Elephas maximus indicus: one gene and its partners. The protein of the gene in region 2 interacts with the protein of the main gene of each other region in a pairwise test. Links are inferred from orthologs where the notes say so. Each region holds a gene or a part of one and is shown on either strand. Other genes may lie near its edges.

Region 1 (7,504 bases), on a different chromosome or scaffold from region 2:
TAGGAATAAAAACCTGTGTGGCTTAAATATTACCTTAAAATAATCTTTACCATCTTTGAATTTGGAAACTCGAGCCTAAACTATGATGATGTGAAATCTGCCATGCATAAAACATTCACACTCTCATTTCTTAAAGAACTTTACATATATGGAAAACAAAATGATCAAATAATCCTTTAGTTTTAGAGTATTCAAAGGAAAAACCAGATACATTTCACAAGATGCATTTTTCAACTACATTATTCAGAAACAAAGAAGTGATTTCTTTTTTAATTTATTTTGTTGTCATTGAAAAGTGATTTCTTAATAATCATTTTTTCATTAGGTGTATTTTGGATGCTTAATATAGTTCAAATCTTTGAAACATACCAACAAAAAAGGAATAAAGTCATTTCTATCATAAACTCAGACATTATGGATTTTTTTTTAAGGATGTATGGAGAACCCAGAGCAAAGCAGTCATGAAGGAAAGAAAACAAAAACCTGTATGATCTAGGGCAAATGAATTAGATTTGCCAGGTGTGGGACCTTCTAATCACATTCTCATTGTTTTGTTTATTATTAGCTGCTGTCTCATCAGCCCCTGACTCATGTTGACACCACGCACGGTGGAATGAAAAGCTGCCTGGTCCTGCGCCATCCCCATGATCAGTTGCAGGTCAGACTGCTGTGATCCATAGTTTTTATTGGCTAATTTTCAGAAGCAGATCGCCAGGCCTTTCTTTATAGTCCATCTTAGCCTGGAAGGGCCACTGAAACCTGCTCAGCATCACAGCAACATGCAAGCCTCCAGTGACAGATGGGTGGTGGCTGTACATGAGGTGCACTGGCTGGGAAACCAACTCTGGTCTCCCACATGGAAGGTGAGAACTCTGTCACTGAACCACCACTGCCTCACTCACGTTCTCACATGGGGTCTCAGTCCTCTGGATAAAATGGCTGTAATACATTGTGTGATCAAGATGACTGTCTTGATAACAGTTTTATAACATGACACAAGATTTAGGAGCCTCAGAGTTCACATAGTTAAGACTTTAGCTGGTCATGAATCACCTACTTAATATTGCTTTAAGTTATGTGAACTCTTGAGACAAGCAGCAGGCTAAATTCCTACAAGAGCCTACCTACACAGGACTATCTTTTAACTGGACACAGGCAAGTTCCTGAGCTACTGGGTCAGTCTTTTGGTTTCCTGGATGATGGAGAGGGAGCTCTCATAAAAACTGTATTCCTGATGGGAATGCAACAAGGAATGCTCTATACAAAGAGAAATGCAGGAAAACTCTGTTGTAACCAGTGTGAAGGAACAAACATCAGACTTGTTCAAAAAGGGGGGAAATGAAGATACATACACACACATAAATGTGTGAAGAGCTTTAGAATACGATTTCTAAAACTACGCTTAAGACCAACTGCCAATCTTTCTCTGACCCCCTTTGTTTTCAACACTGGAATGATTTCTAGCATTGGTTGTTTTCAGGTCCAGATATGAGATACCTTCCACTCTACTGAGTTTGAGGAGAGTAATAGCCAGAAAGCCTTCTTCAGTTTAGTTCAGTGAAGTGAACTTAGGGGAGGGGACAATGTTTTTTAGACAAAGCCATGTTAGGCCTTTCAAGGCCCCAAGAACTGTGAAAAGATTATGGTGGTTCCTCCAAAACACATCAAAATAAACTGCATTTTTCAAAATCACACAAAGCTTATCAAAAAATCCAAAACTGAACCAGATGCCTTTGAGTTGACTCCAACCCATGGCGACCCCATGTGTGTCAGAGTAGAACTGTGCTCCATAGGGTTTTCAGTGGCTGTGATCTTTTGAAATTAGATCACCAGGCACCTGGTATGGATTGAATTGTGTCCCCCGCAAAATGTGTGTCAACTTGGGTAGGCCATGATTCCCAGTATTGTGTGGTTGTCCATGATTTTGTGATCTAATATAATTTTATGTGTTATAAATTCTAACCTCTATGCTATTAATGATGCAGGATTAGAGGTAATTACGTTAAAGAGGTAGGATACAATACAATCTACAGGATTAAGCTGTATCTTGAGTCAATCTCTTTTGTGATATAAAAGACAGAGCTGAGCAGAGATGAGAAGGACCTTATTACTACCAAGCAAGAAGAGCCAAGGGTGGAGCGTGTTCTTCTGATCTGGGATCTCTGTGCTGAGAAGCTCCCAGACAAGGGGAAGATAGGTAAAGCCTTCCCCTAGAGCCAGCACCCTGATTTCAGACTTCTAGCCTCCTAAACTGTGAGAGAATAAATTTCTGTTTGCCAAAACCACCCACTTGTGGTGTTTCTGTTACAGCAGTACTAGGTAACCAAACCATAAACCTCTCCATTAGTAGTCTAGCACTTAACCCACCACCCAGGGACTCCACAAAGCTTTCATGCATGCTGAAATTAAAATATCTCTTTTCTTAGATTTTTCTGATTACAACATTTTGATGAGTTCAATAAACGTGAACCTCCCTCTCTTCTTTCTCTTTTGGGGTTGAGGAAGCCCCTTTCTGGTGTCCTGTCATTTTCCATCAACTGAGACATATCAGTTTAACTTTTTAATAAGCTACAACATCAGGAAGAAACCTCACCTGGAGTCTCCACTCTGCGGTAGTGATAAGGGTTAATGCACACCTCTTTCTGCTTCGAGCCAAATGGGAATTCACAGCACTCCAGTGGCTTCAACTCATGGTGGGACTGAAGATCAGGCCAACGCCACACTCGGCAATAAATGACATGGGGCAAACCCTTGCGGTGGGACACCTGCAGCCGTCCATCCAATGACCGGGGAATTGTGACACACTTGCTGGGCTGCCCCGGACAGCTGAGGGCCCTCTCCAGCTCATCCATGGCTCCTTTCTTCTTCTTTAATTTCTTCACTAAAGAGTCTACCGCCTTCTCTGCCCACTTTTCCTCTTCATCTCCTTGTTTCCAGCCTAGCAGTCTCTTTACTGCTGGGCTGGTGAAGGAGAACAGAGAGCTGATGGGGGTGCTGGAATGCATAAGGGGTGGACTAATGGCATCCAGTGCACAGAAACATGAGAGACCACCCTCAGGGCCCACAGGGCCCGGCAGAAAGAATCAGCAAGCAACTCTCAAGCAGTGTCATTGCACAAATCTTTCTGTTCTTCTGGATGCAAGTGTCACTGATTTAAGTTGGCAAGTGTGTTGACTTTCTCCTAAGCCCTTGAATAGCAGTAACTCTGGAAAAAACAAGACAAGACTTTAATTAGATTAATCAGTATAATTTTCAAAGAAGGTTAAAGTTGAACATAAAGAAGGAAACAACTGTAGTCTTCTTTGACTCTTCCCTCTCCTTTGTGTACCATGTCCAAGTCTTGGTAACTTTGTTTTCAAAACGTCTTTCAGATTTTGTCCCTTTGTCTCCATTTCTATCAACACCTGAGAACTTACCACTCACCTAGATAGCTTACTTCAACACCTCTGAAATAGCTTCTCTCCTTCCCCTCTCTTCCAATTCTAATCCAGTTACTCGCCAAAAAACTTTCATGAAGCCATTTTTCTATTTAAGAAATGGCAGTCACTCCTTGCCCAGCCAGGTTTCCCAAGTACAAACTGCTCTCTTTCTCGGTTTCTAGGGCTTCCTTAAACAACTTGCTCTTTCTTCTTTTTTTCTCATTTAGTTTGCACAAGTAATCCATTTTCATTGTGGAAAATATATATATAAGTGGAAAGTAAAAAAATTAGGATTAGTAATAATCTCACCACTCAGGGATTAGTGACTGCTAATATACATTCTTCGAACGTAGTTCTCCAGGTGTGATCTAAGGGCCTTGGGAAGTCCTGAGAGCCTTTCAGTGGGGCTGTTAGTTTCTCTCTTTTCTAATTACGTATCTGTGTGAGGCTGGCGATCTACTTCTGAAAATTAGCCAATGAAGTCTTATGGATCACAACAGACCATTGTCCAACTTGCTTGTCATCAGGAGGGATCAATCACTGGAGGAGGACATCATGTTTGGTAAAGTAGAGGGCCAATGAGGGCACTGGAGATCCTCAGTGAGATGGATTGGCACAATAGCCGCCAAGATGGAATTGAACATGCCAGTGATGGTGAGGATGACACAGGTCTGGGCAATGTTCTCCTTTAGTTGTGCATAAGGTGACCATGAGTTGGTGTCAACTTGATGACACCTATCTAGCAGAAGACATCTATATGCAGAAGCAGATATGAGAATCTAGTTGTCACCTATTAAAAACCTATTAAAGCAGATATTAAAGAGATTTGCAAAGATGTAAAACAATGACATGATTTTTAATACATTTTAGGGAAAACATAGGGTTATTTTGAAAACAAATTATTTATGTAATATGTAGTGAGTTTATTATGATTTTTAGATGAATCAAGTAGTTTAAATTCTCAGTTTTAATTTCTAAGACAGAAAAAAATGATAGATATAACCTGCATAAGCAAACTCTTTGAGTTCTCAAAGACATGACACCAAAAAAAATTTGCGAATTGCTTTTCCAGAAGTCAGTCATAGTCACATGCATACCTAACTGCATACACATTACTACTGCTGTCACATTTGTTGTTCTCCCTGAAAATGTGTTGAGTTCTTCTTTGCCCTCTTATCCCAAGGAGACATTCTTTTCTAGTTTTTTCATAGTCTTATTTAAATTTTCTGAGATATAGTGGCATTTCCTCTCCTGTGAAGTAGTTGGCTTAAATAAAACCTGTTCCTTCCAGATTTTAGAAACCAGGTACCTCATCAATGTTTAAAATGGCTGTTGGTAACACTTTGGAGGAAACTGACTCATTTTAGTATCCTGGAATCAATCTAGCTCATAATCTCTAACAGTCTCTTGTTTAATATGCATTAAACGTAATTTTATACAAACTTCTTCTTAAAAAAAAAAATAAAAAACTGAACCCAGTGCCGTCGAGTCGATTCTGACTCATAGTGACCCTACAGGACAGAGCAGAACTGCCCTATAGAGTTTCCAAGGAGCGCCTGGTGGATTTGAACTGCTGACCCTTTGGTTAGCAGCCATAGCACTTAACCACTACGCCACCAGGGTTTCCTAAAGAAGGTGCTATATAAACACTTGCTATTATTATCATTATCAGGCACCTCCTGTGAGGAGGCCGGAAGCCTGGTTACACAAAAATTGATTACATTTAATAAGTATGAACCAAAATTTATATCACTTTAGGCCTCGTATGGACTTTATTTAGCTTTGTATAGAGAGGTAAACTATGATGAAGAGAAGACTTGAGGACTTGAAAGTTGTTCTTTCTCATTCAGCAGTTTGGCTTACCCTCAATTTGGAAACGTTGATTTTGTGGCTTGACAATCATGAATTTATATAATTAAGTCTTTTGTCTAAGCTCTGCTTACTTAATCTAGACAGGCTGCCTTAAAGCAACAGTGCTAAAAGGGGGTTTACAGAGTTTGGAGAACAGGAAGTAGCATGACACAGAATAATCTGAAGCCAAAAAATGTTTTAAATTCTGCTTAGTTTCACATGGGATTTGTTATTAGTAAACTGTGGCATAAATCTTTAAACTTAGGTCAGTAGTAAAGAAAAGTTCTTTATAAAAATGTTTAGCAGAAGAATGGCATCTGGGGTCTTAAACACTAGCGCACGGCCATCTATGATGCATCAATTTGTCTCAACCCACCTGAAGCAAAGGAGAAAGAACACCAAAGACATAAGGTAATTACCAGCCCAAGAGACAGAAAGGGCCACATAAACCAGAGATTACATCAGCCTTCTCAAAAAAAGAAAAAAAGAGACCAGGAGAACTAGATGGTGCTCGACCACAACTGATGACTGCCCTGACAGGGAACACAATAGAGAACCCCTGAGGGAGCAGAACAGTGGGATACAGACCCCAAATTCTCCTAAAAAGACCAAACTTTATGGTCTGACTGAGACTGGAAGGACCTGGGAGGTCATGGTCCCCAGACCTTCTGTTAGCCCAAGACAGGAAGCATTCCCAAAGCCAACTCTTCAGACAGGGATTGGACTGGACTATGGGACAGAGAGTGATGTTGGTGAGGAGTGAACTTCTTGGATCAAGTAGACACATGAGATTATGTGGGCAGCTCCTGTCTGCATGGAAGATGAGAGGGCAGAGGGGGTCAGAAGCTAGCCAAATGGACAGGAAAATAAAGAGTGGAAAGGAGTGTGCTATCTCAGGGGGAGAGCAACTAGGAGTATATAGCAAGGTGTATATAAAGTTTTGTATGAGAAACTGACTTGATTTGTAAACTTTCACTTAAAGCACAATAAAAATTTAAACAAAACAAAACAAAATGTTTAGCAGAATTAAACATTCCTTTCAAAAAGCTGTTGCTCCATGAAACAAGTAACAATTCTCTAAACCATGGTTGTTTTTTAAACTGTGGGTTCCCATCTATTAATGGCATGTGAAATCAATTTACTGGGCCAAAATGACTTCTGTAAAAACAGAAGACTATATCGAAGAGCAGCAAACATAAAAAGAATAAATATTTCATTAAAGTTTTTCATTCAGAGGTTTGTGTTTTGCATGAGTGAGTGAATGTATGCATGTTCAGCATCACAAGGCAAAATTTAGTTGTTAGTGTGTATTTGAAACAGTATCTCTAAACCATATATTTTCTCAAATTGTATTGGGGCCGAGGATGCAGTGGTGGCTAGTGGTACAACTCTTGCCTTTCATGCAGGAGACCGCAGTTTGATTCCCAGCCAATGCACCTCATGAGCTGCCACCACTCATTTGTCCCTGAAGGCTTGCATGTTGCTATGATGCTGAAGAGGTTTCAGTGGAACTTACAGACTAAAAGGGACTAAGAAGAAAGGGCTGGCGATCAACTTCCAAAGATCAGTCAATGAAAACTCCATGGATTTTCATGTGCTACAATTGTAAAAAAAAAAATCTCTGGGGGAAAAAAAAACCCAACTCTATGGATCACAATGGTCTGATCCCATTGTGCATGAAGTCACCATGAGTCGGGGCCAACTTGACAGCAGCTAACAACAACAGTGATAACAGCCAATATTTCTAAGATTCAGCCATGAGGAGAGGCTTTCAGGAATAACCACTTCCCTTTGTCCCTTGGGGAAATTTCAGATGGTTCAGAATCTAGGGTCTCATCTACAGTCAGACTGGTACTCTGCAGTCTGATCTCGCTGCTGCATTTCAAATCATTGTAACAGCCTAAGGTGTCTCTGAAACACAGCTCCTGATCTATCAAACAAGCCTTTGGATTGCGGGAGGCCCTGAGGGGTCAAATGCAGATTCTCAGAGGGATAAACACTAAATTCATCACAGTAGCTTCTGAGTAAAGAAGAAAATACAAAATCCATGGATGGCTAATACATTATTCTCTATACTTGTTCATATAAAAGGTATATTTTTTAATAAAAAAGAAAGTATGAAAAAATGAATCAAACCTGGAATCTCAATAACACTAAGGCCTCAGGGTCTTGTCTATGTTAATAATCTCTATTTGCTCATATGGCACAATTTCAGATTCATGAAGGTTATTCCA
Region 2 (7,993 bases):
CAACTTTTGCCAATTCAACTGTTTACACCTGTACAACTTATTGACAGCACTTACAATAATCAGCTGTGCAACCCTATCCTTAATCAATGGGATTTTTCCATCACCATAAACTGAAACTCAGTACTACATAAGTGATAACTCCCTCTTTCCCCCTCCCCCCTGCCCCTAGTACCAATAAGGTCTCTATACATTTGTCTTTTCTTGTTTTTTTTATGTAAGGGAGGTCATATAGTATTTGTCCTTTTGTGACTGAGTTTTTTTCACTCAGCATAATGTCTTTAAGCTCCATCCATATTGTAGCATGTGTCAAGACTTTATTTCTCTTACTTGGGATCCGGATCAATTTGGAAGTAACAGGAACAAATTGGGATTAGCATCAGGAAGCACATAGACAAGTTTCCAGGGTAGAGAGCACATCCCTGCCTTCTTCAGTGCCAGACAGCTTCCAATCAGGACAGCTCTCTGCAGCGCAGGCCTTTCTGCCATGCAGGATTTTCTGCTGCCAACTGGCCCAGCTCACAGCCAGGGTAACAGCTTGCTTAGTGTTGCTCTCCTAGCAGATTTCTGCTGTTACCACTGGCTCTGCCACTGGGCCCCTTCTGGGCCTCTTGCCATCTTCAATGTTACAGCGCCTGACCTGTATTATAGCTCTTTTAGGAGGGTCTCCTGGCAGGAACCCCAGGTCCAAACAGCTCCTCCCCAGGATCTTCTTGGTCTTGAGGTTCCTTCCTTGCCTCTCTCCCAAACCCCCCCTGCATTTAGCCTCTTATATAAGCAAACTCCTTGTCAATTTCAAGGCGTGGACCTCCCAGCAGAACCAGGAATCAACCAATCCCCTCGGTGGACCAAAAGTCGTTCAATCTTATTGGGTGGTTTTACACACCACTTTTTTTTTTTTTGACTAGTAAACTAACTGCAAGGTGCAAAATAGACCAATCACAGGGAAGCCTGTGGCCTAACCAATCATTTTTTGGCAGATTACAAACCCAGGGCCAGAAAAGCCATATATAAACCATTACACTGCAGTGACTTTTTGGCGCATTTATATTGAATTGTGTATTTAAAACTAAAAAAAAGAAGGGAGATGGAAGAAGGAAGAGTGAGAGGGGGAAAAAAGAAAGGTAGAAAAGAAGGAAGGAAGAAAGATATAAAATTCTTGGAAGGAGATGGCAGGGGGTCAGGTTCAGGGCCCACCCCTGCCTACCTCTGTCCACCCGGTGCTACATTCTCTACACTAGAGCCAAGCCTCACTTTGGAATCAGGCTGAACACCAGGGCATTCAGGGAAGGGCTGAGTCACCAGACTGGGCAGAAGCCCAGGTGGTTATGCTTGAGGCCCTCACAGCAGGTACAGGCAGGAGAGGAGGGTTGAAGGGGGTTTGCAGAGGTGCCTGGAGAGTTGCAGGCAGGCAATGCTGGTTTTCCCAGGGACCAGGGAACCTGGGGCCAGATGTAGGGCAGGAGTGAACATGTCTGTGGAGATTTCAGGCTGTGGTTTATTTCCTTGTAAGCAAACCCAAAAAAGGACAGAGGTCGAGATACTAACACCCAGGCTGGGCAGGGTGAGGTCATGCAGGGAAGCAGCATGAGTCCTGGGGACCACAAGGCCTGACAAAGCGGGCCTGGGAAGGGCTTAGGGAGGGGCGCAAATGGGGACTGACTCCTTGATGTCATATCTCTTTTACAGGGGACATCTAGTTCAATTGGCATAACAGTTTATAAAGAAAAGGCTCTACATCCTACTTTGGTGAGTAGAGTCTGGTTTCTTAAAAGCTTGTGAGCAGCCATCTAAAATACTTCACTGGTCCCACACCGTCTGGAGCAAGGGAGAATGAAGAAAACCAAAGACACAAGGGAAAGACTACTTCGAAGGACTAATGGATCACAACTACCTCAGTCTCCACCAGACTGAGTCCAGCACAACTAGATTAAAAAATAATAATAATTTATTTGTCATTGTTGTTGAGAATATACATAGCAAAATATACACCAATTCAACAGTTTCTACGCAACTTGGTGACACTGATTACAATCTTCAAGCTGTGCAACCATTCTCACCTTCCTTTTCTGAGTTGTTGCTCCTCCATTAACATAAACTCACTGCCCTCTAAGGTTCCTATGGGATCTTTCCAGTTGCTGCTGTCAATTCGATCTCATATAAATAGTTCTTAAAAGAGCATAATGCCCAAGGCAGACGTTTTTTACTAGTTAAGTTAAACTATTGTTTGGTTTTAAGAAAACTTGGGGGATATTTTGATTTAAATTTTAAGGATTATCTCAGGGCAATAGTTTTGAGATTCATCTAGCTTCCATGGCTCCAGAAAGTCTGGATTCCATGAGAGTTTGAAATTCTGTTCTGCATTTTATCCGTTTTGATCAAGGTCCCCTGGAGGTGTTCTTGAGGAATGTGGTAGCTGGCCCACAGCCCTGGAGGATGGAGTGGGGCTGGGGACTGTATCCTCTCCACTGAAGTGCCCAAGGCTCATTTCATCCACTTTGTCAAGTGGTTTAGTAAACGTATTTCACACTTCCTTGCCTTAGTAATCAGAGTAACTGCATATGATTTAAACTTTTCTGAATGCTCTGGCTGATCCCTTGACTGTCAATTACTGTCCTTTAGGAGGGATGCCCTTACGGTCGCCAGTCCTACAGGGCTGTTTTGGCCCTGCATTCAATGTCCCACATCTGGTGTGCTTTTGAGTTCTTCAGTCTGCTTTTCAGCGGTTTTGTCCCCTTAAGCCTTTAATCCTTGCTAAACGCCAAGTGCCTGCCTCTAGAAACTTCAACATATCCCCTCATCTTTCTGTTGCTGGGAAATCAGATAGTCACATTTATTAAAAGTGTATGAAATCAAAGGGCCTATGCACGTGGAAAACTTGGGACTCCCTTATGGAAAAAGTTTGTGATCCTTTACGACAGGGTTTCTCAACCTCAGCACTATGGACATTTTGGGCCAGATTATTCTTCACCGTGGAGGACTGTTCTGTGCATTGTAGGATAGTTAGCAGCATCCCTGACCTCTACCTACTAGATGCCAGTACTGCCCCCCCAAATTGTCCTCTGGGGACAAAATTACTGCTTTAGAGATTGAATTTGTGATGTCTGTTTCAGTCACTTTGGAGGTTTTTTCTCCTGCATGCATTTTCTCTGGTTCTGTGTAGTTGTGATGCATAGATTCATTTATTAATTTGCTTAACATTTCATGAAGCTCAAGTGCGTGGTGTATTCAATAGAAACATAAGCCATACTCCCTAACCTCAGGATACACGGGAAGAAAATACACACAAATAAGTCACCAGGGTGCAAAGTAGTCCTAGTTTAGCAGCAGGAGCCTTATCCACTTTCTGGGCCCTTTCTAGCCCCAGGCTAAGAACCCCTGTAACACAATTCCACAACTCTGTCACTCCTTCCCTACCTAGACTCCCACCACCCCTATTTGTCTCCCTGCCCCAGCCCCGAGTGCCTGGGTGTCTCCAACGTTAAGTGCTCTACTACCAGCCAAAAGGTTTGAGGTCTGAACCCACCCAGAGGCACCTCAGGAGACAGGCCTATTGATCTGCCTCTGAAAGGTCACAGCCTTGAAAACCCTAGAGAGCACAGTCCTACTCTGCACACGTGGAGTCACCAGAGTATGAATTGACTCGATGATAACAACCACCTTACCTCAAGCCCTCTCCTCAGCTTGTAGTGCCCTCTGTCCACTCTGCCTCTGTCCACTGCCCTTCCTCCAAGGCCCAGCACTTTCCCTGGGCCTCTCTTCTGGCCCATCTCCCCATCAGCCACTGCTGCCTGTGCCAGGCCACTGGCACTGAGCAGTTCTGGCTCCTGTCACTGGCTAATCTGTTCTGTGTATAAATTTTCTCTCCTTACCTGTCATGTCAATTTCTGGAAGGCAGGGCCTACTGAAACTAAGAAGTACTTCCACTTCCCACCCCCAGCCCAGCCTTGTTTCAGGCACCCAGCAGCTACTCAAGGCCACTTGCACTGAACAGGGCATTCAACCTGCCTATGTCTGCCCTTCCCATCTAGTGTTCTGATGCTCTTCCCAAGACCGCCCCAACCCCTGGCCTCCAGTCATTTCTACAGCCTCTCCCCTAAAAACCAGTTGCCACCAAGTTGATTCCAACTCATGGTGATCCTGTGTGTGTGCAGAGTATAGCTGTATTCCATAGGGTTTTTAAGGTTTTGTGATCTTTCGGAAGCAGACAGCCAGGCTTTTCTTCACAGGTGCCTCTAGGTGTGTTCCAACTTCCAACCTTTGTGGTTCTGAACTGTTTACACCACCCAGGGACTCCTAGCCCCTCCCCACCTGTCAGTTAAAATCCTCCCAGACACAGCTCAAGAAGGAACTCCCAAAGTGGAATTAATCTCTTCTTCCCCACCCTGTGGCAAACCTACTACCTCTTCATATTCACAATATATAGCACCTGGCACACGACCTCGTACATTTAAATTAGATTTATTCCGATTTGTTCTCCCTTCCTTATCCGCGGCCAGCCGTGAGCGTCTTGAAAAAAAGGCCTGGGGGCTGCTTGTCCTTATCCTCACAACCCTCCTCAACCCCCTGTGGGCCCTGAATCCCTAGCATTTAATTAACTGCTGAATAGAGTAGAAAGGGGATGCAACCCGACATCCTGTAAACGCCTTTGAGCAAAACCCCTGAGGGGTAGCCCCCTTGGCTGTTAACATCCCCAGACACGTTGCCTCCTTGAGGCTAACTCTCCCAGGAGCCCAGAGGGGTGGAGGTAGGAAGATCTGCAAGCTGGCTCTGGACGGCAGTCTGAGAAGGGCCAGAGCGTCACATGATTCTCCAATCACATGATCTGCAGGGATGGGGGGTGGGGAGAGATAGGAAGGGGGAGTGAATTGGGTTGAAAAGAAACACAGTATTCCAGACTGGCCCTGCCTCCACGTCGACAAATAACCAATGGGAGGGAGGCATGCCGGCCGCTGGCCAATGGACACTGAGGTGGGCGGGTCCTCGGGCGGAGGGGCTGTAGTGCGCGAGCCGACCGGCTGCTGCTGCCAGGGAGCGCGGATCCGGACGCAGGTAAGAGGGTGGCGGTGCACACCTCTCACTGGCTCCTTCCCAGGGGTCCGGCCGGGGACTGGTGAGCTTGAGGTGCTCCTGGAGTCTCAGCCGGGAGACGAAGGGAGATTTGCGTCCAGAAACTCCTTTGAGGGTTTCTGATGCACTGGAGGGAATTTTAGGGGAGAGTAGGTGGTAACTGCAGTGACCCCATTAGAAGGGGGCTTTTTCCGTGCCAGGATCCCCGGAAGCTGCAGCCCCTTTCCTCAAAGCAGGTACCACCCTATTCTAGAGCCATCTGTTGACAGGAGCCGGCTCCTTCCTCTTTTGGTGGTGGCGGTGGAGTGGTCCCCGTGGCTGCCCCGGGGAACTGGGAGCAGGACTTGAGACCCTGGCCGCCCCAAAGGTAGGGACTTGGGAGTGGTGACCGAGCCCCTGTGTTGTGTCGACTTATAGCCACCCTATAGGACAGAGTAGAACTGCCACACAAGGTTTCCAGGGAGTGGCTGGTGGACTCGAACTATTGACCTTTTGGTTAGCAGCCAAACGCACCACCAGGGCTCCTGGGTTTTGTCTGGCTCTTCCTTGCTTCCTCACGTGGGGGTAGGACGAGCTAACTTCCGCCTCTCCCAGCCACTTTTTCCTCCTCAGTTGCAAATGGATTGGCTCACTTTTGGGGAATCTTCCTCTCTGCCACTAGGAGTTGGGGGGTGCCCCCTAGTGGAAGATGACGGAGCTGGGGGCTTGAAGACGCTCCTGTCCTTTCTGTTGTGGAAGTGTGCGTTGGGGGTGACAGGCCGCCGCTAGGAACCCTACTGAGGAGCAGCCCGAGGCGGGGACTGGGCCTCCTTCTCCCCCGTCTCTAGTTCTGTGTGTGTATGTATTCAATAGAGATTTGAACTATACACCCTAACCTAAGGATACACAGGAAGGAAAATAAACATAAATCACCGGGGTCCAGAACAAGCATAGATCTGTGCAGACAACCCTCTGGCCTCAGCCAGGGCAGCAGGATAGGCAGCTGAGGAGTGAGTTTAGACACCCCCACCCCTGAAGCAGGTGGGGCCAGCTGCAGAGGCTTTTCCTGGGAGCGGTGGTGGTGGAGGAGAGGGAGAAAGGGCAGCATCCCATACCAGTCTTCATCCTCATCTGTTCTTTGACCTGGGGGAGGGGGCACCTGAGGAAAACCAGGTGAGGGAGTGACTGGGTGGGAGAGATTTCCTGATCCACTCACCTTTTGAGGCTCTCACAATCTGTTGGTGACAATTCCAGGACTAGGACCCAAGTGCAGTTTCCACAAAACCCCTGTTCCCTTTTCTTCCCTGCCCCTTCCACCTGCTCAGGAAATGCCTCTGTCCCCCTCCCTTTGCTTGGACCCCAGGCCTCTGTTTGGGGGGGTTCATTCCTGAGCCCTGCCTGGGGCATCACTTGTGAAAAGAACCAGGTCCAATAAGCTGTGCAGCCATCAAAACCTGTCGTCGCCATGACCTGACGTACAGCAGCGGCACCATACTTAACATCTCTGAGCCTCAGTTTCCTCCTTTGAAAAGTAAAGATAATAATTATTATTTTGGGTGGTTATTGCAAAGACGAAATAAAATAGGATGTTATAATTGGTTCTCAAGGGGCACAACCCACACACTGGGCAAGTCAGTGCCTCCCAGGCCTGCCCCGTTGCTCTCGTCAGGCCGTGGAGCTTGGGGGAAGAGTTGTTTAGGAAGTGAGAGGCTTAGTTCCTCCTGCTGACTCAAGTCGAGGCAGGTGAGGGCCGAGAGGCCCTCATGGATCCCATGTGGTCTCTTTTTGTATGTGATTGAGTTTTGGCGCTCAGGGTAGAGGAGAAGCAGGGGCAAGTGGTTGGTATGTTTGGGGAGTCTGAGAGGGCCCTGGTGGTATTGGGGGGCTCTCAAAGAACAGGTGTCTCAAAGGCCGCCCCCCAGCCTTGTGTCTCCCTCCATGGGTGTAGGGGTAGGGGAGAGTCAGCTGGCCTCTGGGAAAAGAAGCCCAGACTCCACTGTCCACCACACTTCCCTTTTTTCAACTTTCTCAACCCTGTGGTTTCCCATGTCATCATGTGACCACCCCACACACGCAGGCCGTAGCGGGGTACATGTGTATGCACACCACCAGGCTGGGAGGTATCTGGAAGAGCTGGCTGAGGACGAGGGGCCGTGGAGCTCTCTCCTGCCACCCCCATCCCTGTTTTCTCCTGTGGCTACTGGTGCTCACCACACCCCACCCTACCCCACCCAGGTGGCCTGTGTCCCCACAGATCAGACCCACAAAAACCACACATCCTCCTGACTGTCACATGCATACGTCTCTGCCACACGCACAGACTCAGGTGTTAGGCCATGTCGGGGACTCAGATTCACACATATACTCATGTCAGCATTGATGCTCATGGAGACACACACACACAGGTGACATGTAGAAGTGGAATCTCGGACCCCACATCTTTCTTCCTACTTGGACAGGGAGTTGTTGGGGAGGCTCAGGTAGGCCTGGGCCTGGGCCTGGGCCTGAGCCTGTGAATGGCCTCAGAATCAAGGGTGGCATGGGCTTAAGCTAATGAGTTCCCAAATGCTGGTTGACATTTTGCAGGTGGACCATGTGGACCCTGGTGAGCTGGGTGGCCTTGGTGGCAGGGCTGGTGGATGGAACACAGTGCCCAGATGGTCAGCTCTGCCCTGTGGCCTGCTGCCTGGACCCAGGGGGAGCCAGCTACAGCTGCTGCAACCCCATTCTGGTGAGCACCCCTCAGCCCAGGCGGAAGCTGGGAGCCTAAGTTTCCCCAGGTTGGCCTGAGGACAAAGCCAGGCATGGACCCTTTGGTTTATCCTCGTCCCTCTCTTCCCAGGACACATGGCCCTCTCTGTCCACAACATGGAGCAGGCATCTGGGTATACCCTGCCAGACTGATGCCCACTGCTCTGCTGGCTCTTCCTGCCTCCTCACTGTCTCG
Region 3 (7,475 bases), on a different chromosome or scaffold from region 2:
GATGTCCTGCTCCATGTTCTAGGCCAGGTGGAGCTCGCAGGGACCCACTATGACGGGCCAGTCATAGTCCTTAGGTCGCAAGACAGGTCCATTTTAGACAGGCGGAGGCAGCTGGAGAGGTGGCGAGCAGGACCACTCCTCACTCGTCTTTCTCATCCTGGGGCAGAGGGAGGTGCCAGTCTGCAGGGGGGCTCCGCCTCAGGGACCACACCAGGGCGTGCTTCCGTGCAGCCTGGACTCGGGCCCGCTCGCTCTCACAGAGGGATTGCTGTGTAAATGAGACCCCAGTCACTTCTGCCTCATGGCTGGGCCTCAGTGGGCCTGAGTGCCCTCACGTGGCCCCTGTATTTCCCTGCTCCTCAGCACCCTTCCAAACACAGATAGAGAAACAAGAGTGTAGCATGCATACTGTTCTGCAGTATGGTTGCTTCCACCTAACATGTCTTCGCAATTGTTCCATATTAGCACACATACATCTAGATCATTCTTTTTCACAAGCCACTGTAAAAACTACTGTGTAAATCACCATCATTTGAATAAAATTTAAAACATCTCCTGGGCCTCAAGGCTCCCTGGCTTCGGTTCACCTAGTGAACGTGGGGCAGGTTCACCTGCAAAGACAGAAACTGGAGACGTTGAACTGTGAGAAGATAAAAAAGTCTGAAAGAGTGGCTGTGGGAACCTGCCGAGAGGAGCAATTGGCTGAACAAAGAAAGATGAGATAAGAGACATCCCCAGAACTCCTTGGAAGGTTAGGGAAGGAATCAGGCAACAGGTCACTGGGCACAGATGCGCACAACAGGTCCCACTCCACACGTGGGAGCTTCTCTTCATCCACTCTCTCTCAAAAACAAGCACAAGGGCAGTGCTGTCACACAAAGTGGGCCCCTGGCATGTGCCAGGCACTACGCTCTTTACACATAGAAGTTCATCTTCTCCACCTGCCTACTTGTCTCTCCCCTCAAGCCCTATTGTCTCAGATAGAATGCTTTTGTTCTTGTTTAGAAAACAGAAGCACAAAGTAGGGTGTGAAAGGCTCCCAGGCCTCCATCTCAGGTGACAGTTAACAGCTTCCCTACACCTTTCTATGCCCAAATTTTAGAGTAATCCTGTGTTTCTCTAAGGGTGGAATAATACTCTGTTGGTTGCTGTATTTCCTGCTTTTTTTTCACTAAATGATACACTGTAGGTAATTTTCCACACCACAGTATATTACTATCCTGTGTTTAAAGGCTACATGGCACTCCGCCATGTAGGAGTACTTATGTAGTCAAATGTCTACTAGTGGAATTAGGTTGGTTTCAGTTTTTGCACAATCACAAACAATGGCACAGTGAGCACTTTAAGCTTTTAACTGTGCACTGTTGTCCAACTCTTTCCCTAGAACAGACTTCCAGAAGTAAAACTGGAGCCAAAAGTTATGCTTTTAACCTATTTAGTCAGATTAACTGTCCTCCAGAGAGGGTGTTCCAGTTGAGACGCCCAGGAACAATGCGCAAGTACTCCTGACTCTCCAAACCGCTACCAACACTTCTACATTCCACTGGGCAAAAAACACTGCTACTGTCCTTTTAACTTGTGTGTCTGGCCATTTGGCTTTCTTTTTTCATGAACTGCTTCTTCATGCCCTTTGTCCACTTTTCTATACTGAAATCATCCCCACTTTTCCTTTCGATATATAACAGCTCCTTTTTTATACCTATTAAGTTGTCAATCTCTTGCCATATAGACTGCAAACTATCTTTCCCAGTTTTCTTTCACTTATTATGGATTTGTCATCGCTTCCTGTTAAATAGCACCTTGGTTTCCACATCAGCTTGTCTGTTCCAAAATAATCACGTACACTTAACAAAGTTGAAGCTGTCCCCAGTCCTGCTGGCTCCCCTTCCCCTAGGCACTCCCCATAAGCACTGCACCCTCACCCCTTCTCTCCATCCACACTCCCACCACTGGCCTGAGGCACCACTAGAGTGTGGGTGCCAGGGGGGCAGTGGCTGTTCTCTTCACTCCGCTAACCCCAAGAACACCTGCCATGAAGTAAGCCAGTGATAAATATCTGCTGAATGAATGCACAACTAGAACAACCTCCAGAACAGAATCTAAATTCTTTATCAAGACACATCAGGTCCCTGGTAGCTCTCCACCCTCATCCTCTACCCTCCACAGCCCTCCCTCCCTCCGCTCCAAGCACCATGGCCTTCTTTCTGTTCCTCAGTCTTGTCACCTAGGGCTGGGTGAACGCTAGCTCCAGGTCATTCAGGATTCAGCAATATGGCCTCCTCTGAAGGCCTGCTGATGGCCCCAACACTTGCAGGTGGCCCCTCCTCCCTCTCCAAGTCACTCTACAACTCCTCCTAACTTGTCTCCTTCATTGTCCTTAACACCGTCTGAAAGTCCAGTTGATATACCTGTTTTTGGCATTTCTCAAAAGAAGGGAAGCTTAAGGAGGGGAAGGGCCCAGTAGGCCTCCTCTCCACAGGGTCACCGGAGCCTGGGTCGAGGGGAGGGCTTGGCACATGCAGGGGGCTCTACACATATCCGCAGGACGCGCGCCTGCCCGCATGCTTGCTCTCTACCCCGACATCCTGGCAACGTGTCCCCGCTGGCCTCCCCAGGGTACCTGGGCCTCGGCGCTGCGGCGTTTCTCCCACTCGTGGCAGCTGGCCAGGTCGCGGAGCCACTGGTCGCAGGCCGGCCGCTCGCCGTGGACGTAATAGTGATGCAGAAGGTGCCTTGCGCTGCGGCAGAGTTTCCACTCGGCGCGGTAGGCTTCGCAGGGTCGGGGCGGCTGCGGCGAGAGGCGACGCCTGAGAGCTGCCGGAGGCACGCCCCACCCCAGAGGCCGCTGTGCTGCCCATCCCCCGACCCCGTCCCACCCAGCCCAGTGAGGGTTCGGTTAATATGGTCGCCTGGTCCGACGAGGCCGCTACGGATTCGGGTCACAGACCACGCTTACCCGCCAGTTCCCGCCGCCGTCGGCCATGTCTAAGCAAAACCACCAAACCCCGCCTTCTTAACCCGTCAACCAATGAAAACTGAATAAAGTCGGCAGCCACACGATTGGCAAATAAAAGAACCAATGAATTCCTAGATATGGCGGGTTCTAACCTCCTAAAGAGGGGCCAATAAACAGGAGGTCCGCATTGGGCAGCCAATAAAAGCCTGGGGCTGTGGTGCGCGCGGGCGGGGCCGGGGAGAGGCGGTCAGGTATCCTCTACAGGGGCAGGAAGTCTGGCCCCGGACCTAGTGTTACCGCAGCGGCTGGAGGTGGGCGGGAGTGATGACTGCAGCTGCCCGCCTGGTGTCGGTGGGTGTCCCAGGCTGCAGCCAACCACGTTAAGTTGACTGTTTATGAAGCCGCACGATTCAGGCCGGTTAGTTTCAACAGCTTCAATATTTTCAGGAATCTCAAATGCCCGGTTAATTTTCCTAAGCAAATAGTGAACATCAACCCCGTGTCAGGAACCACCAGGTTCTGGGACAGCAGTGGTCTCACCCTTCGCATCCAGTCAAGAGGACTGAGGTGAAGTCACAAAATAACCTGGGTTAGCTCAGCATAGTATGGGGGAGGAGGTGAAGGGGGCTTAGGGCACAGAGTAACTTCGTGGAGGGAACCGGGGCTGAGCGCTCTGAGCATAGCAACAGCCTAATCAAACTCAGGGAGTCTGTGTCTAGCACGGAGTGAGAAGCAGAGCCGTACAAACCTGGAGGAGCTTTTATGTCTGATAAGATTGTAGGCTGTTTTGAAGCCACGCAGAGACAACGTTTACAAACAGGGGAGGTGCAAAGAGGCAATAAAGAAGCCAGTGGGCCTCCACCAACTCTCTGCAATACCTCGTATCTGGATGTGGTGGTTCTCCAGCTTCTGCTGATAGAATCATTTGCTGGGGAGTCCCTTAGAGCTAGGTTGCTGGAGCCACCCCAGGAGTAAGAGTAGGTCAGACTCACTGGAGGAGGGGCCCAGAAAGCCACCAGTTTTACCAATGGGCCCACCACTGAGGTGGCTGACCCATGGCCCAAGCTTGGAGGAACACTGTCTAGGAAGACTATAGGCCAAAAAAAAAAAAAAAAAAATAGGCCAGGGTGCAGTAAATGACCTTGACTTCTAATCCAGATGACCCCACTGTGTATATCCTTAATGCTTCCATCAGAAGGCCCAACAACTGGGTCTACCCCCTGGCCCAGGAAGGGCAGTGTTCTCCACACTACCAGCCAAGAGCCAGATGGAGTTTCACTGCATACACAATAGGTGTTACTTATAGATGACAAAAGCCAAGGCCTATGGCTTACTGTTAACATTCTTCATTATGCATATAATTACAATTTGTTAGCCAATCTAATCCTGCAGATGGTGGCTGCCAATCCACCAAAGAAGGCGCCCATGTCTGCTAGGGAAACGGAGGCTCTTTTAATGGAGGGTCAGGTAGGTCAGAAAAAAAAAAAAAAATTCTTTTTTTCTTTTTCTTCAGGTAGGTCACCGCAATAATTCATGTCTTCCAAAACCACATCCATCACCACTGGTCCTGACCTCTGTGGTGACCATTTGGGCCATGGGTCCAAGCCCTGGTCACTGACATTTGTTGATGCAAGTTCTCTCTGAGGATACCTGGATAGATCCTGAGGCTACCACCCTGGAGGGGTCATCTTTTTCTCTTCTGAGTGTTGGAGAAGCCCTGTCAAAGTCAGGCTTCAGCCTATAAGCATGATAAGCCCTGGCACACAGAAGGGACCCTGCTGGGCCTCACCATCCCTACCCCCAGGGTCACAGAGCCTCCTCTCTCTCTCCATTATCCAGAAGAAACCCCAGAGGGGCACTTTTCTAAAGGCAGGATGGAAAGTGGGGCACTCGTCGGCAGGCCTTCCTCCCCTTCCTAGTCAGTGACCCAGCCACCAATCACGTTGTTATAAACATTTACATTAGAGACAGTCCAGGTTTTAATCATTGCCTGTTTTTATTTTAAATTCTTCATTTAGAATTATTTTCAAGGAATAGATTAAAATAGTTAGATTAGCATGTCAAAAGATCTCACATTATAGAAGGTGAAGATCTCAGACCAAATTAATACTAATAAAAAATAAAGACAGACCAGCAGAGCTGTGGATAATTTAATACAGTAAAATTGGGAGTGAGGATGGGGGAGAAGGGAAAAGAGCATACCTTTATTGTTTATAATAATATTCACATTTGTGCTTCAACATGAAGTTATTTTTCTATAGAACAGGTTCATTCAGGAGCCAAAGTTACTTCCACATGAAACCAAAATAAAAGTGGGTACTTTGTTCAAATCAGGTTTTCCTTCTGAGGAATGGTACTTAAAAAAAAAAAAAAAAAAAATCAATATGTAAAATAAAAATAGAAACAGCCTTTCTCAAATATATAAATTGCAGCCAGGGTAGCAGATATTCTAGGCCAAAAGCAATATCTTAAGCAATGGACCTGGAACAAAAAAGAAAGGCTACATAGAAAAAAAAAAAGAACATCTCAAGTTAGAGCAAGGCAATCCCTCCACTGGCTTTATCAGGAATGAGGGAACGCTGGTCCCACTGAGCCAGTGGCAGCCCCGAGGGCTGAGCATAGACTGGCAAGGAGGTGACCGACTACTGGACCTCAGAGGCAGCTTTCTCTTTCCCAATATTAAGCACACAACTATGAAGTCCTGCTGTTGCTCTTCCAGCTCCAACTTGATAATTCTAGGTAACTCTAAACAAACCTTAAGTAACAGAGCGTTTTCTGGCAATAGTCTCATCCTTGTCAGAGCCAGTAACTAAAAGCCAATACGTTGCAATCAATTATTTTATTTTCCAATCAGGCAACAGCCCCGACTTATGGCTTTCTTCCCTTTTTACGCAATGACTGTCCTTCTCCAGAAAATGCAACGAATCTGCCTCCAGCTTCATCCTAGGTGTGCAAAGAAAATACCGTTTTCAGAAAGTCCTTGGAAATTTATAATAATGTTCTATTCTGTTGACTCCTGTACCATCCAGTCATTTTTCTTTCCCGTTACTCATAATGAAAAATATTTTAAATATAAATACAAGTCATAGTTCACTACATTGAGAACACCAAAGAATCACTATGAGTCTGCCACAGCCTTTATTCTCAGGTTAAAAGTGTATCGTTTTACAAAAGCACTACATTTCCAATGTAAAGAAAACATAGGATACACCAAGAAAATAAAAATCACTCTAAACCCTGTTGCCATTAAGTTGATTCTGACTCACAGCAACCACGTAGGACAGAGTAGAACTGCCCCATAGGGTTTCCAAGGAGTGCCCGGTGGAATCGAACTGCCAACCTTTTGGTTAGCAGCCAAGCTCTTAACCACTAGGCCACTACCCTAAAAAAGGCTTTCCAGTCACTTTTCGGTCTATGACTATATAAACTGTAGTTTCTTATCTAATACCTTCTAAAGTCTACACAGACTCCCATCACGTGTGAACCAGTCTTATATCACTGCGTGGCCCCCTCATGCCCAGGCTTTCTGTATTTTAAATCGCTGTGGTGAGCAGCCTCATGGGTCTGTACACAGACCTGGCTCTTCCTAGAAGTGGGGTGGATTCCTAGATGGAATTCTTGGGTAAACGGGTATACATATTTTCAAGGATTTTAATATATACTGACTAATCAGCACTCAAAAACATTCTACTAAGCTATTCTCCTACCAGCAGAGGGGACTTATTATTCTGATCCTTTGAAAACAGCAGGTATCTTGGCACAATGACCCATTTTCACATGCTTTTATTGCTAGTCTTACACATTACCTATTGACTTTTCTCTCCGGAAGAAGAGGGTTCTGCTCTCTCCAATGCATACCCTGACTACCTGCACCCCAACACTCATTCTGTCCCCTCCCCATCCAAATACAGCACTTCGCTTGTTCTAATTCTGTAAATGTGAGCCATAGCCCAGTTGTTTAGTCTTCCTTTCCTGCACAACCTTCCAGTTTTCCTGGTGTCAACAATGGTGTTTGGCTTCTCTCTACTCCATCTGTTCAATCACAGCAGTATTCCAGCAGGATCCTGAGGCCTTTGGCCAGCCTAACCTGCACTGGCCATTCTCTAGCACTGCACATGGCAGTGGGGACTCCCTGTTTTCTGGATTCTGTGCCTTTCTTATTTCTTTATCTTAATGGGGTACATCCTCCAGCACCCTACTGAGAAAGGCAGCACAAGGAGTATCTTTTTATGAGATCTTAAGGTGTCTTAAAATATCTTTTTTATACTCTCACACTTCACTGATGGGTTGGTGGGTACAGAATGTTAGGTTGGAAAAATTTCCCCTCAGAATCTTCTAGATTTCTGTGTCCTACTAAGAGGCAGATGCCATTCTCAATCTGCGTGAAACCTCTTCAGGAGTGGCTCCCCTGCCCCAATAGGGCCATTTTCACCCATGCTGAGCACTCAGGGACCCTTCCGAGCAGCAAAAGCCTGCCCTCTGGTTCAGGGAAATTGCTTCCCTGATGATTTCTCTGTTT
Region 4 (5,394 bases), on a different chromosome or scaffold from region 2:
ATAAAATCTCAACTACTTCCTTGATGGTTGTATGTCTTTCAGAATATGAATCTAAGTTTAGTGGCTATGGCTCCCCTCTAAGAATCCTCTACTGAAAGACTGTTCCATTATTTTTTTTCTGTCTCTGTATTTTTTGCATAAAAGGAGCCCTGCTGCTCAGTGGTTAGAGTGAACAACTGCTAACTGAAAGATTGGTAGTTCAAAACCACCAGCGTTCTGCTGGAGAAAGATGTGGCAGCCTGCTTGGAAACCCTATGGGGTCGCTATGAGTTGGTATCAACTCAACAGCAGTGGGTTTGGTTTTTTGGTTTTCAGTATACTTTTTGCATAGCCCATAGATGCAGAGGTGTATCTGAGGAAAATGGAGCCTATGCAAGCACTAATTTTGCCCCTGTCCAAACATCTGACACCCATCTTCTAGATAACTTTATCATAATATCAGCTCAAAAATACAAGTCAAGCTCATTAACCTTTTACTTAACACATTATGGCACTACATGAAAATGACAACTATTCCTTGCTTTCACTCGTGAAAACTGATCTATGATGTGCTCAAAGTCATTTCTTTCTGTTTCTTCTCCATCTCAGCGTAGCAAGATCACACAGTTTGCCTTGACTCATGGAGCCTCTCAAATACCAAACTACTATTTTCAACTTGCTGAATGATCTCTCACAGCTGGCGAAGGAAACTACTGAGATGGTTAATAGAAACTGCTCAGTGGTGCCACCCCCTCCACATGGCACCCAGGGCACATGCCATGCCTGCCATACCTTGGATACACCTCTGCCTGAAGTCTCATCCTCTTCCCCAAACGGCCGGTTGTTTCTTCCCATTCTTAAGAATTAATTTCAGATGCCAACTTTTAGGTAATGCCAATGAGTTCTGTTTGTCCTCCTCTGTACCCCTCTTAGAGAATTTATGCTCCTGTATTATCACACACACAAGGTTGAACGTGTCTGGAGAGCAGAAGCCAGTTATATCTGGGTATCATCCCCAGCATCTTTCGCAATGTTTTACACATCCTTGATGTTCAATAAACATCTGCTGAATGAATGACATGCCTGTCAGTTATGGTCATACCCTCACTATGTATCACGCTCTGAGGATTCTTTGTATCCAACAGAGAGAGATTAGGGGTTCTATAGAGTAAGAGAGGGAAGGACCTTTGGCTCATTAAAGAAAAAGCAATAAAGTAGGTAAACCTGTAGTTTACAGGTACCTGCAACGATGTAGGTGTCAGGCTCTTGCTTATAATAGAAAAGAGCAGGCATACTAATGAGATACCTGTTGTGCCCAAATAAACCCTTCCATGTTAGTGGCATAGTCACTCTTCAGTAACGTCAACTCAACATGTATTATTTTAAGGTAGAACTTATATTTGGGGGACTTCATTTTCTGAAATGCTGTAGATATTTTCAAAGTGTTACTTATCAATAATAAGAAAAAATAGGGTCTCATGGATGATACTCTTTGGGAGGGAGTAGAGATGCAAAAAATAAGATAACAACAACAAGAACAGATTATCTTCAGTGTTTTGCAGTTTACATTAATTTTGTATTATATCTCAATATATTTAATCCTAAAAATAAAACTAAAAAATAGATATTATTAATATTCCCATTTTTTCCCAGAAATAATACTGGTTGGTAATTGGGGTTCAGGGAGATTACGCAAATTGTCCAGGGTCACACAGCTAGTAAATGACAGTATCAATACATTCAACATAGTGCCATATTTCATACTGAAAGGAAAAATGTTTCATTGGTCAAGAAGCCTTTATTCAAAGGTTTCGCTTAATATCAATTACTACACCTTTCTAAATTTCAAATTTTCGCATAGGAACACTTGGAAGAGTAAAATGTACTATATAAATTTGTGAGGATAAAGTGACATTTCACGCATGGCTGTGAACACCACAAGGTCTATCACATAGTAGGCAATAAATAAATGCTGGTTCCCTCTTCTGCAGTCTTTCTCCTCATAGAAAAACACTCGTATATATACAAGCACCAACTGTCGTCGAGGCAACCCTGACTCATGACTACCTATGTGTGCCAGAGTAAAACTACTCCTCAGGGTTTTCAATGGCTGAATTTTTGGAAGTAGATCACCAGGCCTTTCTTCTGGGGTGCCTCTGGGTGGGCTCATAATTCCAACCTTTAGATTAGCAATTGAGTGTGCTAATCATTTGTATCACCCAGGGACTCCATGCCTACATATATTGTTGTTGTTAGCTGCCATTGAGCTGGCTCCCACTCTGGCTACCTTTTGTGTAACATAACGAAATGTTTCCTGTTCCTGCACCATCTTCATGATCTTTGGCGTGTTTGAGTCCATTGTACTACATATATAATACGTATACATACAGAGACATACTTACACGGGTGTCAAAATGATATAGGTCTTAGGCTCTTGCTTATCATAGAAAAGAGCAGGCATAAAGTATTGATGCACAATTTTGACAATCATTCAGTTAAAGATGGCTTTACCTATTACTAACGCCATTCAGCTGATGCAACCAGGATTTCACAAGAAGGCTCCATCAGCTGGGTACAAACAGTGTCAGACAGGTGACGAAGGCCTGGGGCTATTGAAACACATTAGATACAAATCATGAAAGGGTAATAGCCTCCAAACTAAAATACCGAGATAATTTCCACATGTTGGGACAGAACCTCAGAGACTATAATTTTCTCTTCATCTTTTTACCTCTGGTAGCAAAATCAGCCTGTATTGCCTCATAGGCAATTCATAAATTCTTCCCCCTCTGGACTGAGAAAGACTTGATAAGAGTAGGTGGGTTCAATGAACACTAAAGTAGAAGAAATTTTGTAACATAAATTGAATTTTTAGCCAAAGGGAATTGGAACTGAGATTCAGCAGATAATTTAAGTTCACGCTAAAGTAGCCACCGTTGTCCCTGGATTTGCAGGTATATGGAAAACAGAGTTGGACCATTGAAAATAAGCCAAATCATGCATTTTAAAACCTCCTTGCCATACAATTTATTCCCAAGTAGCCTCCAAAATACTCATACTTAGGAAGGCTATACTTTTAGCCTGTTGCTATTGCCTGTAAAAAAAAAAAAAAAAAATACAGTTAGAACACCTCTTTTTAAATTAATGTCAGGACCAATGTAGGAAGCAAAACCAAATCCATGTCTTAATCATTATATCTTATTTTTGACCATAAACAATAATTTGCAGCTGGAATATAAGTACACCATAAAATGAATAAGCTTAAAAAATCACAAAAAAAATCATGTCACCAAACTTTCTTTAAAGAGTTCTGCTTATCTGATTTTGCTCAGGGCAGGGTCAGTAATTGTAAATGAGCCCAACTATTATTTATATTAAACAAAATATTGCAAACAAAAACCAAGCTTACAGCTTGACTTAGCATTTTTTTTAATTGAACTGAATAGATTGAACACAAATTTTGTGAATCAAGATGTTTTGATGGAAAGTCACTTCCTACCAGGATTCTGAAATAAAACAAAAAACTGGGCACATGGACTTTTTCTATATTATAAAAACAAACAAACACACTGCTGTTAGGTGAATTCTGACTCATACCGACCCTGTAGGACTGAGTAGCGCTGCCCCATAGGGTTTCCAAGGAGTAGCTGGTGGATTCAAACTGCTGACCTTTTGGTTACCAGCCGAGCTCTTAACCACGGCCCTGCCAGGGCACCATATCATAGTACTTTCAAGCTCTTTCTGCTCTAAACCTTATAGGTTATAGGATTGCCCACTTTCTTTTTCAACACATTTGCTTCCAAGTTACTTACTTCAGCAATTTCCAAAATGAATAGAATTCTCCTTGTCGGAGAAACAATTGCCACTGTTTCAAAGATGTTTCCTACAATTTTTAAAGACTATTCTAAGACAGGAATTCTGGGAATGTTTGTCCAGTGGTGGTTATCATTGGAATAAGTATATGGCCTCTAAAATGTCTGTTTTCTTTGGATGATTTAAGAAGGAAAGATTCTATTAAAATTTTAGCTACACTGGTTTATAGCCATTCTTTATCGAGGGGAAGCTTTGCAAGAAACATTGGGTTTTATGGGAGGGGGTAGTGCCAATTTCTGAGCTATAATGATGAGTTCTGATGCAGACTTCATACAACAAGGAAGAGAGTCTGAATACAGAACCACCGCCTGCTAGGGATATATAAGGGTCAAACCAAGTGAGGGCACAGTCAAACTCGAGACACTTACTTCTTTCTACTCAACCACAGCCTGCTCTAGAAACCTCACTATGTCTTGCCACAACTACTGCTCTGGAAACTATAGCTCAGGATCCCTCAGGAATATCTGCCATATTCCTGTCACCTCCTCCAGTGCCCTCTGCTCTACCAATGTGAGCTATGGAGATGCCTTCTGCCTACCCAGCAGCTGTCAAGGCAGTTCCTGGCTCCTGGACAACTGCCAAGAGACCTGCAGTGAACCAACCAGCTGCCAGCCAGCCAACTGCGAGCCCAGCAACTCTTGCTGCCCTTCCACTGCTTACTATGTGCCCAGACCCTGCCAAGGAACCAGCTTTCTTCCTGTATCTTCTTCCATCTCAAGCTCTTGCTTCCCAGTCTCCTGTAGACCTCTGAGCTATGTGCCCAGTGGCTGCCGTCCATTGAGTCCTCTGCTCTACAACAGCCATCTCTTGGGCTGTGCACCCATTGGCTATCGACCACTGAACTGTTTGCCCAACAGCTGCCGACCCCTGAGCCTCCTCACTTACGGATGCCAACCCTTGAGTGGTTTGGCCTGTGGTTTGCAACCATTTAGCATTGTGTCCAGCAGCCTCAGACCCCTGAGGCCTCTCTCCAGTGGTTGCCAACCTCTTGCCCATGTTTTCAGTACTTGTCGTCCGTCTTGCTCTGCACTGGGGTACTAGTAGCCTGCTCATTCCAGAGAACAACGATGCTGAGAAACCTGGACCGAAATTCACACTCTGGGGACTTTTTGCTTCTTTATTCGTAGTGACAGTTTTTTCTCAGTTTTACTCTGCCTGATCAAATGCAAGTTGCTCATTTCATAATCTTTATTCTAGTCATTTCTCTTTGACATAAAATAATTGGTTTATGTGCTGTTCAATGTCACTCAGGTGTGGAAAAATTATTTGGTTCGTATTGTAATAAATTAGATTAAGTCACAATTATGTATCTGGGTCATCATTGTGTCTTTGCTTATTTTATCGTAACACAGAAATTACCAACCTGCACTGCTTATAAAACAAGTGAGTAGGACAGGTGACACACAACCTTACGTTCTTACCTGACAGCAGGGGAATAGCTCGATGGCTTATTCCTCAAGCTACCTTCTAGATCTCTGAGCCTATGAACTTGAAAAATGGAAAAAGACCTTGGTGGAATTTATTTTGAGAAGGCAAGACTAG

Evidence for each region.
Region 1: the proteins of GRN (region 2) and SMAD9 interact in binary tests that used the Homo sapiens proteins (3 or more experiments, as listed by UniProt). The link is inferred for Elephas maximus indicus from reciprocal best matches to the Homo sapiens genes GRN and SMAD9.
Region 3: the proteins of GRN (region 2) and C22H22orf39 interact in binary tests that used the Homo sapiens proteins (3 or more experiments, as listed by UniProt). The link is inferred for Elephas maximus indicus from reciprocal best matches to the Homo sapiens genes GRN and C22orf39.
Region 4: the proteins of GRN (region 2) and keratin-associated protein 26-1 interact in binary tests that used the Homo sapiens proteins (3 or more experiments, as listed by UniProt). The two-hybrid records come from large-scale screens. The link is inferred for Elephas maximus indicus from reciprocal best matches to the Homo sapiens genes GRN and KRTAP26-1.

What each region holds. Positions count from the first base shown.
Region 1 is NC_064832.1:18,130,956-18,138,459, forward strand, and holds the start of SMAD9 (mothers against decapentaplegic homolog 9), read right to left. Parts: upstream 3,012-7,504; 5' UTR 3,006-3,011; coding exon 2,594-3,005; intron 1-2,593. UniProt on the Homo sapiens protein: Transcriptional modulator activated by BMP (bone morphogenetic proteins) type 1 receptor kinase. SMAD9 is a receptor-regulated SMAD (R-SMAD).
Region 2 is NC_064837.1:50,849,326-50,857,318, forward strand, and holds the start of GRN (progranulin), read left to right. Parts: upstream 1-4,972; 5' UTR 4,973-5,049; intron 5,050-5,336; exon of another isoform or gene 5,337-5,434; intron 5,435-5,728; exon of another isoform or gene 5,729-5,904; intron 5,905-7,632; 5' UTR 7,633-7,639; coding exon 7,640-7,777; intron 7,778-7,888; coding exon 7,889-7,993. UniProt on the Homo sapiens protein: Secreted protein that acts as a key regulator of lysosomal function and as a growth factor involved in inflammation, wound healing and cell proliferation. Regulates protein trafficking to lysosomes, and also the activity of lysosomal enzymes.
Region 3 is NC_064840.1:32,679,406-32,686,880, forward strand, and holds the start of C22H22orf39 (UPF0545 protein C22orf39 homolog), read right to left. Parts: upstream 3,025-7,475; 5' UTR 2,984-3,024; coding exon 2,957-2,983; intron 2,789-2,956; coding exon 2,621-2,788; intron 269-2,620; coding exon 140-268; 3' UTR 1-139. Other genes in the region: UFD1 (ubiquitin recognition factor in ER-associated degradation protein 1), read right to left, coding at 5,825-5,899. UniProt on the Homo sapiens protein: Negatively regulates long-term potentiation and modulates adult synaptic plasticity. Stabilizes the interaction of RTN4 isoform A/Nogo-A with its receptors, inhibiting clustering of postsynaptic AMPA receptors at synaptic sites.
Region 4 is NC_064836.1:31,370,069-31,375,462, forward strand, and holds keratin-associated protein 26-1, read left to right. Parts: upstream 1-4,260; coding exon 4,261-4,893; downstream 4,894-5,394. UniProt on the Homo sapiens protein: In the hair cortex, hair keratin intermediate filaments are embedded in an interfilamentous matrix, consisting of hair keratin-associated proteins (KRTAP), which are essential for the formation of a rigid and resistant hair shaft through their extensive disulfide bond cross-linking with abundant cysteine residues of hair keratins.